Mus musculus: one gene and its partner. The protein of the gene in region 1 binds, or shares a complex with, the protein of each later gene. Links are inferred from orthologs where the notes say so. Each region holds a gene or a part of one and is shown in the gene's direction. Other genes may lie near its edges. The genes, in order: Nrip1 and Rora.

Evidence for each region.
Region 2: the proteins of Nrip1 (region 1) and Rora are in contact, whole or in part, in a crystal structure (PDB 4S15), measured with the Homo sapiens proteins. The link is inferred for Mus musculus from reciprocal best matches to the Homo sapiens genes NRIP1 and RORA. Residues at the interface, in NP_001426204.1 of Homo sapiens: Thr499, Leu500, Leu501, Gln502, Leu504, Leu505, His507; in NP_599023.1 of Homo sapiens: Gln332, Val335, Lys339, Phe344, Met345, Gln349, Gln352, Ile353, Leu356, Pro505, Leu506, Glu509, Leu510.

The regions. Positions count from the first base shown.
Region 1 is NC_000082.6:76,370,076-76,374,623, reverse strand, and holds the start of Nrip1 (nuclear receptor-interacting protein 1), read left to right. Parts: upstream 1-1,574; 5' UTR 1,575-1,752; intron 1,753-4,548. UniProt on the Homo sapiens protein: Modulates transcriptional activation by steroid receptors such as NR3C1, NR3C2 and ESR1. Also modulates transcriptional repression by nuclear hormone receptors.
Region 2 is NC_000075.6:69,370,542-69,374,349, forward strand, and holds part of Rora (nuclear receptor ROR-alpha), read left to right. Parts: intron 1-673; coding exon 674-795; intron 796-2,547; coding exon 2,548-2,680; intron 2,681-3,473; coding exon 3,474-3,581; intron 3,582-3,808. UniProt on the Homo sapiens protein: Nuclear receptor that binds DNA as a monomer to ROR response elements (RORE) containing a single core motif half-site 5'-AGGTCA-3' preceded by a short A-T-rich sequence.

The DNA.
Region 1 (4,548 bases):
AAAAATTGCCTTTACTTTAAAGATTGGGAAGATACCCCAGACGTTTTTCATTTGAAAAATCCGAAAAATAGCTATAGAGCTATTATATAACAGTAAAGAATACGGTTGGGTCACTTGGATAATTTTTGGTTTTGGTGTGCATCAATAACTGCTTCCAAATGCTACCGAAATTCTTAAGGATATGAAAACATATGAGAGTAGAAAGCTTCATCCACAAAATTGTCTTAGTAAGTATTTTAAGGCAGGGATAGCACTTCAGAGTTTAGGGTGAATCGAAGATGTACTTTAGCCTTTTTTTTTTTTTTTTAATGTCAAACAAAAACAACTTCTGCAACCACAAGTCTTCCCGCAGGTAATTCTTTTCATGACTAGAGTCAAAAACAAACGAGACAGAGACATCTGGGGTAGGGGGAGCGTTAAAAGGAGGCTTCACAAGTAAGATATGAAGGGAGTAGAGAGAATAGGTTTTAAAAGCAGAAAACACAAGGCGAGGAAGAGATCATGGTTTCTTATTTTTCTCTCCTCCCTCCACTTTCTCGCCTCACCAATCTGTTAGCCCACCTCAAATTTAGAGGCGGGTTCAGCGAGACCAGGCTGCAGGAAACCCAAGTTTCCCTGCATTGCCACCCTGGCTATATGATGTAATTGTTATTTATTGAGACTCTGAACCCAGCAAGAGCTGCTTTAAAGAAGTGACAGCCCATCTCCTAGTCCTGTTGGGTCAGATCCTTCCTGGGGGTGGTGCAGTTTGGCGGGCAGACCCTGCTGGAGACTTCGCAGTGACAAAGCAGCAGAAGAGAAACCAGGTTCCTGGGTCCTGCGTCCGTCTAGGGAGCTAGCTGTGCACTCCTCAGGTCTCCTTTCCAGTTTTCCGCTTGGAATCATGCCATATTTATCACTGGGTCCTACTAGGTGCTGAGCATGGGGTCAAAATGACCTAGAGTTATACAGCGCCGCAGCTTCCGGGATTTGAGCGGGACACAGATTTTAAGGAGGTGGAAATTGAGGGTGGGTAAAGGGCGCCAAAAGAACGCGTGTTTGTGGGGTGAAACGGGAGAAAGGGAGACACTTAAGGTGCCAGCACGTAGGCTGGGGAACCTGGGGTAGGATTAAGGTGCCCCGACGCCCCTGTGGTGCCCCCAGCGTTTGCCCCGGCACGGGTGACATGGGCGATCGCCTGGCCCCTAGCGGGGAATCTGTCCAGGCGGCTGGCTGGACGGGGCTGGGAAGCCAGGGCGCCGGCTCGGGAAGCACAGCACCCCCTCCTTCTCCGGGTCCAACCGCGTCCTCTCTCTGCCTTCAAGGCCGATCAGTCCCGGACCCCCACCCGGAGCACCGGCGAGGAGGCCTGCAGACGCCCGGTGGGCTCCCCGGCTCCGCCGAGCCTCCGGGTGCGCGCTCGGCCCGGGTGACAATGGGAGGGAGGGGCAGAAAAGGGTTAAGAAACTTGGCTGAAGAGCTGAATGGCGTGGAGCAGCGAGGGGAGGGACCCGGCCGCCGCGAAGTCGGCGGCGGAGGGAGGAGCGCGGCTGCGGCGGGCGGGCGGCGAGCGAGGCGCTCAAAGTCAGCCTCGCAGACATTGCAGCAGAGCCCCGAACTCGGGAGGCGACGGCGACCGCGGCGCAGGCGGAGGACGAGCCGGCCCCAGCCCGCCCGAGCGCAGCGCCCGTGGCCTCGCGCGGCCGCAGGGCACGGCTAACCTGGGAAGGAGGGAGCGACGCGGATCGGCGGCCCGGAGCCGCGGCGGCCTCGGTGAGTGGCAATCGCGGCCCGGGCTCCGTGCGGAGCTCGCGGGAGCGGACGCCGCGCCGCCCGGGCACGGCCTGGGTGCGCGGCCCGTGGAGGCGGCGGAGGCCGGGGGAGGCCCGCGGGGAGCTCCGGGAACACGGATCCCGGGGACAGCCCTCCGCCGCGCCCCGCTCCGGCTCTCCCCTGGAACTCGCGGGCCCGGCCGGCGCAGCCGCCAAGTTGTGGAGTTCCCAGCCGCGGGCTCGTCCGTGCCAGCCTTGGCGCGAGGGGCGCAGCCGCCCTGGGTGTTCTGCGCCGGGACCCACGCGGGTGGCCGGGTCGCGGGGCCCCGGTCGAGCTCGCCCGCCCAGCTGCCCCCGTTGGCCCCGAGCCCCGGGCGCTGGCTGCCGCGCCGCTCGGTCCTGCCGCCCAGCGGTGCTCTCGGTGGCGCCCGCGCTGCTCCCCGCCTATCGCTGCCGTCTCCCTTGCGCGGTGCTCGCCGATCCCCGGCCGGGAAAAGTGACTCGGAGAAGGGGCAGCACTGAGCCCCAGGCCCGGCCTGCTGGGCACGAGCTCCCCGCTTGCCGAGGGAGGGCGAGGCTCCTTGCACCCGAGGCCTCAGCCCAGTTCCCCCAGCATCCGAGAGGGGGTTCACTCGCATGAGCCTGGTAAAGTCCGGGGAGACCGCTCTCCTCTCTGGTGCCACTGTCCTCCTTTAATACTATTGTTGTTAGAAGAAACCCTCTAGCGTGCAAACATTCCCCAGACCCTCCTATCCCTTTCCAAAGTACTTTCCAAATTTTAATCAGGAGTTGATATTCAGACTGAAGGAACAAAGGAATCCACTGTGTTTAAAAGGCGGACAGGCAGAGAGTCTGACACATGTTGATCTCTAAGGCATTCCAGGAGTTTCTACCTTCCATCATGTCAGTAATTTAACTGGATTCTGGAGGTCGTAAACGAAAAACGGAACGTTAGGTAATTTCACGTTAAAATACTTTGTCGTCGTCGTTGTTGTTTTAATTAATGGGTCATTTTAGTTGGGGGAAAGTCCGGACATGATTAGGTGCAAGAACTTTTAACTCATTTTTTTGTGGCACCAGGCTGGAGTTTGTCTGCTCATGTAAGCTGATTGTGACACTGAAGGAAAACCGTGTTTTTAGAGAAAGAGAGACAGACTAAAAGTAAACCAAGATTGGCATGTCTGTCTGTCTGTCTGTGTCTGTGTATACGAATACATGCTTAAATGATGTGTGGTCTGTGTTTCTTGGGTTTTGTAAAGCAGGGGCTTTAGTAATTCTTTAAAGTTATGAATTACATTGAACCCGCTTATTAGTGAATCACAGGTTTAGCAAGTGGGCGGCATCTTCCAGATGCAATTATCCAGTGTTTAATCATCAGGTTGCCACCTTTGTCTAAGAGTGAAATAAGTCGACTTTTTAAACAAACGGTGCTTCCTATGCACGGCCCCTAAGAGTGGCTGCTGTCTGGAGTATGTTGAAATCTTCCACTTCCAAGTGAGTTGCCCTGGTTTTGCCCAGCAGTTTGGTAATATCCAACAGGGTTTAATTGATTCAGGGACTTCAAAACCAACAGGAAATTTCTGTACAGGACTTAGTTACTGTAGACAAAGAAGGAGAGTCAGAATTGTAGCAGGCAGTACCTGCAAACCAGATACTTACTCCAGCCTGTTTTATAATAACTCTACTGGGGACACTTCTCTCCACACTTAGCCTTTCAGGGACTGGAGCATGAAGAAAATATACTTAAAAAGTAGACATACAAACTCTAAGGAGGGAAGTTCGGTTGCTGCTTGTTTGTATACAGATGAGTCCTGTGAAGTGCCTTCAAGATACTTGGAAACCAGGCTTCAGTGGCTACGAGAAGACTTAGAGCCACCTATCTGTGTTTCCAAACTTTGCCGAACTTGAATTTTTATAATCGAGAGATCTGAAAATATTGTGCGTTAGCAATGGCAAAATGTTTGTGGATAAGGCCAAGGCTTTGACTCCTACAGCTTTAAGAGCAAAACATTGTGATTAAAAAATAACCTATACCACCACCTAGAGTCTGTTTGTTAGTCTATTGCTCTTGGAGTCTGCTTACGTTGACACATCCCTTATGGTTCCTGTATAGTCAAAACATGATTAGAAGTTTAGGCTTTCCAAAGGCCATCCCGGAGAACAATTATTTCAGTAATGCATAGCAAGTGCCAATTTAAATTACCCATGCCGCTTTCGGAATCAAAAATTATGACATATCAACTCAAGTGGGCTAGTCTCCAGAAGATATTAACTCAAAAGAAAAAAAAAATTTTTTAAAGATAGCTTCTTTTAGCTTGTGCTCCAAGGTGGCTCTGACTGTGCAAAGATTTTCCTGTGTTATTAGAGATTCAAGAAATATTACAAAATAAGTGTTCTCAGTGCCTTGAGAGGTTCTGGGGTGGGGAGGTGGGGGACAGAAGCTATGATTAAAAAAATATAGAGAGGGAGGAGTGGTGCCACTTACCAACAGTTTGGATGTGGAGAAGGTTAGGGAGTAGAGAGTCGATGCCTGTGAGATCATGTGTTTGAGCATACAGTCAGTGTGAAGGGAAGTGCTATACAACCTGTCCTGCTGGAGGACTGTTTGCAGGGAAGCAGTCTGTTAAACAGGAGGCCTGAAGGAGGCACCCTCTGCCATGTGGCTTATCACATTGTCCAAGGAGGGAGTAAGGCTCCTCCTTCCACGGTGTCGCCTGAAAGATGGCCTCCCAGATCTTTAATTAAATATCAGCCGAACAGAGAGAACTAGAGCACTGCATTAATTCTGCCAGACATC
Region 2 (3,808 bases), on another chromosome or scaffold:
CAAAACAAACAAAAACAAAACAACAACAAAACAAAACCAAACCCCTGGGCATGGTATAAGTACAGCCCCGGGAAGGAGGAAGAGGAGGAGGCAGGCCCAGGGCCTCACTGCCAGCCAGTTTAGGTTAATCAAAGAGCTCCAGGTTCAGTGAAAGACCCAACCATGGGGGAGGGGGGGGGGACAGGGAGCAAGGGGAGCGAGCAATTAAGGAAGACACTCGAGACACATACACATACTGCAGAAATAAAAAGATGTATGCTCTTGTGCTCACACACAGACATGTGCACACTTACATAACTTCCTGGCTTTTAAAGACCCACTTTTGTCAGGACAGCACAAAAAGCCAAGAAGAGGCTGTTTTTCATTTTTCCTGCCTAACCCATGTTCATCTCCAGACACGGGCAGAAAGCCTATGACAAGGCCAAGGTCTTCAAGTCTCTGAATCCACCATACTTCCAGCAGTCTTGTTGGCTTTGCAAAGCCTCTCTCCTCCATCCCCTGGGGCACAAACACAGGCGGTTTCCATCTTCCTTAGCTATACAAAGGAAACCAAATGTCAGCACATTGCTTTAAGTGAGTTGCTTTTTAAGGTGGATGACACCGGCAGAAGAGTATTATTGGCTCCTAAAATAACGTGGCTGTTCATGGTCGTGATCTCCTGTTTTCTCCCCAGAACACCTTGCCCAGAACATATCCAAATCCCACCTGGAAACCTGCCAGTACTTGCGGGAAGAGCTCCAGCAGATAACGTGGCAGACCTTCCTGCAGGAGGAGATTGAAAACTACCAGAACAAGGTAGAGTTGGAGGACTTTCTCTTCCCACTGAGGCAACATTGGGTGGGGGTGGGAGAAGGGCATTCATTCAAGAGTCCAGACAGACCAAGGCTGACTGTCCTGCATCAGAGCTCAAGTCTCTGATCAGGATCTTACAGCCAGAGCTTTGTTGTCTTCCTGAGATGCTAGCGTGTGAAAGTTCAGCTGGAACAAAGTTTATTGTGTTTCGTAAGTCCTTCCTTTGTGCCAGTTGGGATAACTGGATCGGGCAGCTTCCGAAAGCCTCCACGAGTGAGGATTTGTCCTGATGCCACAGAAAAAGATTCTGAGGTCTAAGAATTGAGGAAAGTACTCTCAGCCCCATGCTACATGCTTCTAGATTAACAAATAGTTGGCTAGAGATTGTGGGCAAAGGTGGGGCTGGTGAGATAGATGGTTCACTGGATAAGAGCACTTGCTGCTCTTCCAGAGGGTCTGAGTCTGATTCCCAACACCCATGTCAAGTAGCTCACCTGTAATTTTAGCTTCAGGGGACCTGAGCCTCTGTGCTACACACACACACACACACACACACACACACACACACACACACACACACACACACAAAGTTAAAATGGCTTTAATAAAGAAGGAGAAGAATGAGGTTTGGAAAGTCTGGCTATAACTGCTCAGAACCAAAACGGAGCCTGACAGGTGATGACCCTACTTGCTTTTCTCTCAACGATAATGACCAATGGGGTCACTAAAGTGTGAGGGTAAGCTGCAGGTAGGGTGGTGGTACTTATTCACTTTGCCTTTGGAAAGAGAAGATATGGAGGCGTTTTCCAGTGATCATAGAAAGTCGGGCTAGGGAAGGACCATGGAGATGATAGAGGTGGATCCTTCCCTTTGCTGTGAAATGGAAGAAAACTGTCATCCCTTGGCTGTGACCACGCAGTGAGAGCATTAACACCATGGCCTCATGTGACTCAACTCCAGGGTTTGATCCCCATCATACTATTAGAAAGAACCTTAAACCAACCTTAAACAACAGGGTGTATCGGAAGAGCAGAGGAGCAAAGCAAAAAGCCCCAGGACACTGTGATGAGTGGGAGGGAAGAAGGGACCGGCAACAGCTCATTTAGTCTGCCTCTCAGTGCAAAGTAGCCCCATCATCCCAGCCACAGAGGAGAACCAGCAAGCCTTGAGAAGTAGGGTTTCGACCTCAGCTCCTCTTACACTGTACTACTAGCTGAGAAGCCTCAGCGTTTTGATGTCATTTCTGAATAGAAGACAATGTGTATGATATGAAACAGGGATGTTATCAAACATAAGGGGGTACAGACAAAAAAATGTGGTTGGTACCCCTTTTCTTCCCTCCCCTCCTCCAAGGAGAGCATGGGTAAACTCCCTAAAATAAATTAACTGCATGAAAAAGAAGATCCTTGTCTTACTGTGTAGCCCACAGCTAAGCAGTAATGTATATTGCTCTCCTGACTTGTGTTGAGCTGTTGGCCCCATACATCCATAATATTCCTCACTTTCTACCCCCCACCTCGCTGCCACCCTCCATTCCATCACCTTCAAACTGTAAGCTAGGAATCTCAGTAGGCAGAAAGGATACGGAAGCAGGCTTTTATAACCTAAGTAACAGAGACTATTTTTTTTTAATCCTATAATCTTTTTTTAACCCATTTCCAAAGAAAGCTTTTTACAAACTAGGAAGCCAGCCCGAGGCTGGCTGCACCAGGGTTCCCAGCTAGTCTTATGCTAATGTGCCTTCCTCTTTCACAGCAGAGAGAGGTGATGTGGCAGCTGTGTGCCATCAAGATTACAGAAGCTATCCAGTATGTGGTGGAGTTTGCCAAACGCATTGATGGATTTATGGAGCTGTGTCAAAATGATCAAATTGTGCTTCTAAAAGCAGGTATGTGTGCTGCGAGTGAATCCTAATACCCACTTCCTGCCTGTTTTCACCTGCTTGTTACAGAAATGCTTGCTAAGGAAGATGTCGAAGGCATTTTCTTCAGTGATAATAGCTCAGGGTATACTTAGCAGAAACTGAACCCTTTTTATAAAAACATTTTAAAGTTGTGTTTGGGGGGGATGCTGAGGAGATGACTCTATGGTTAGAGCACTTGCTGCTCTTGCAGAGGACCCAGGTTCAATCCCAGCACACACCTGGATGCTCCACCATAAATAACTACAGTTCCAGGGGACCCAATGTTTTCTTCTGATCTCCACAGACACCAGGCGTGTACATGGTACACACACACACACACATGCAAGCAAAATACTCATACACTAGTTATTTGTATCTGTGTGTGTATGTGTGTGTGTGTAGATATATTTTTAAAAGATATGCTCAGAAAGCATTCCTCCCATTTTCCTATTCCTCCGGGAAGAAGGCTCCACTAGGGAATTTTTGTACGCCCATGATCTTACTATCACCCTTCAAGCCCTAGTGCTGAGCTGCTGGAAAGATGCTTCTGGGCTCAAAGAGTCATTCCTAGGCTGGATTGTTGCAATAAGTATGCATTAATGTTGCCCTCTGCAATGTGAGTCAGTCTTCATTTCTTCTGCCCCTTTGGACAGAGGGCCAGTGAGACTGAGAAGCCAGGCACAAAGCGCTGTGCCATCTCAGGAAGGCATCTGTTTCAGTACCTCAGAAAGGAACTAAGGTCTGTGGGACGGTTCTAAACAATCCTTCCTCCGTGCAGGCTCGCTAGAGGTGGTGTTTATTAGGATGTGCCGTGCCTTTGACTCTCAGAACAACACCGTGTACTTTGACGGGAAGTATGCGAGCCCCGATGTCTTCAAGTCCCTAGGTAAGGAAAGCTCACAGTTTTGTCTCTGTAAGTGGGGATCATGTACAAGCATGTGGCACAATAGAAACTGGTTATGTGGAACCAAAGCTAAAGGGTGATACACCTATTTTTCTGTGTATAGTAGCCATTTGCTATAAAACACTCGGCAAGCAGCAAATATCTTTGTCTGTGTCATATGTAAGCTTGAGTTCAGCTGCAAGGTAGCCATTGAGTGAGTAGTGCATGGG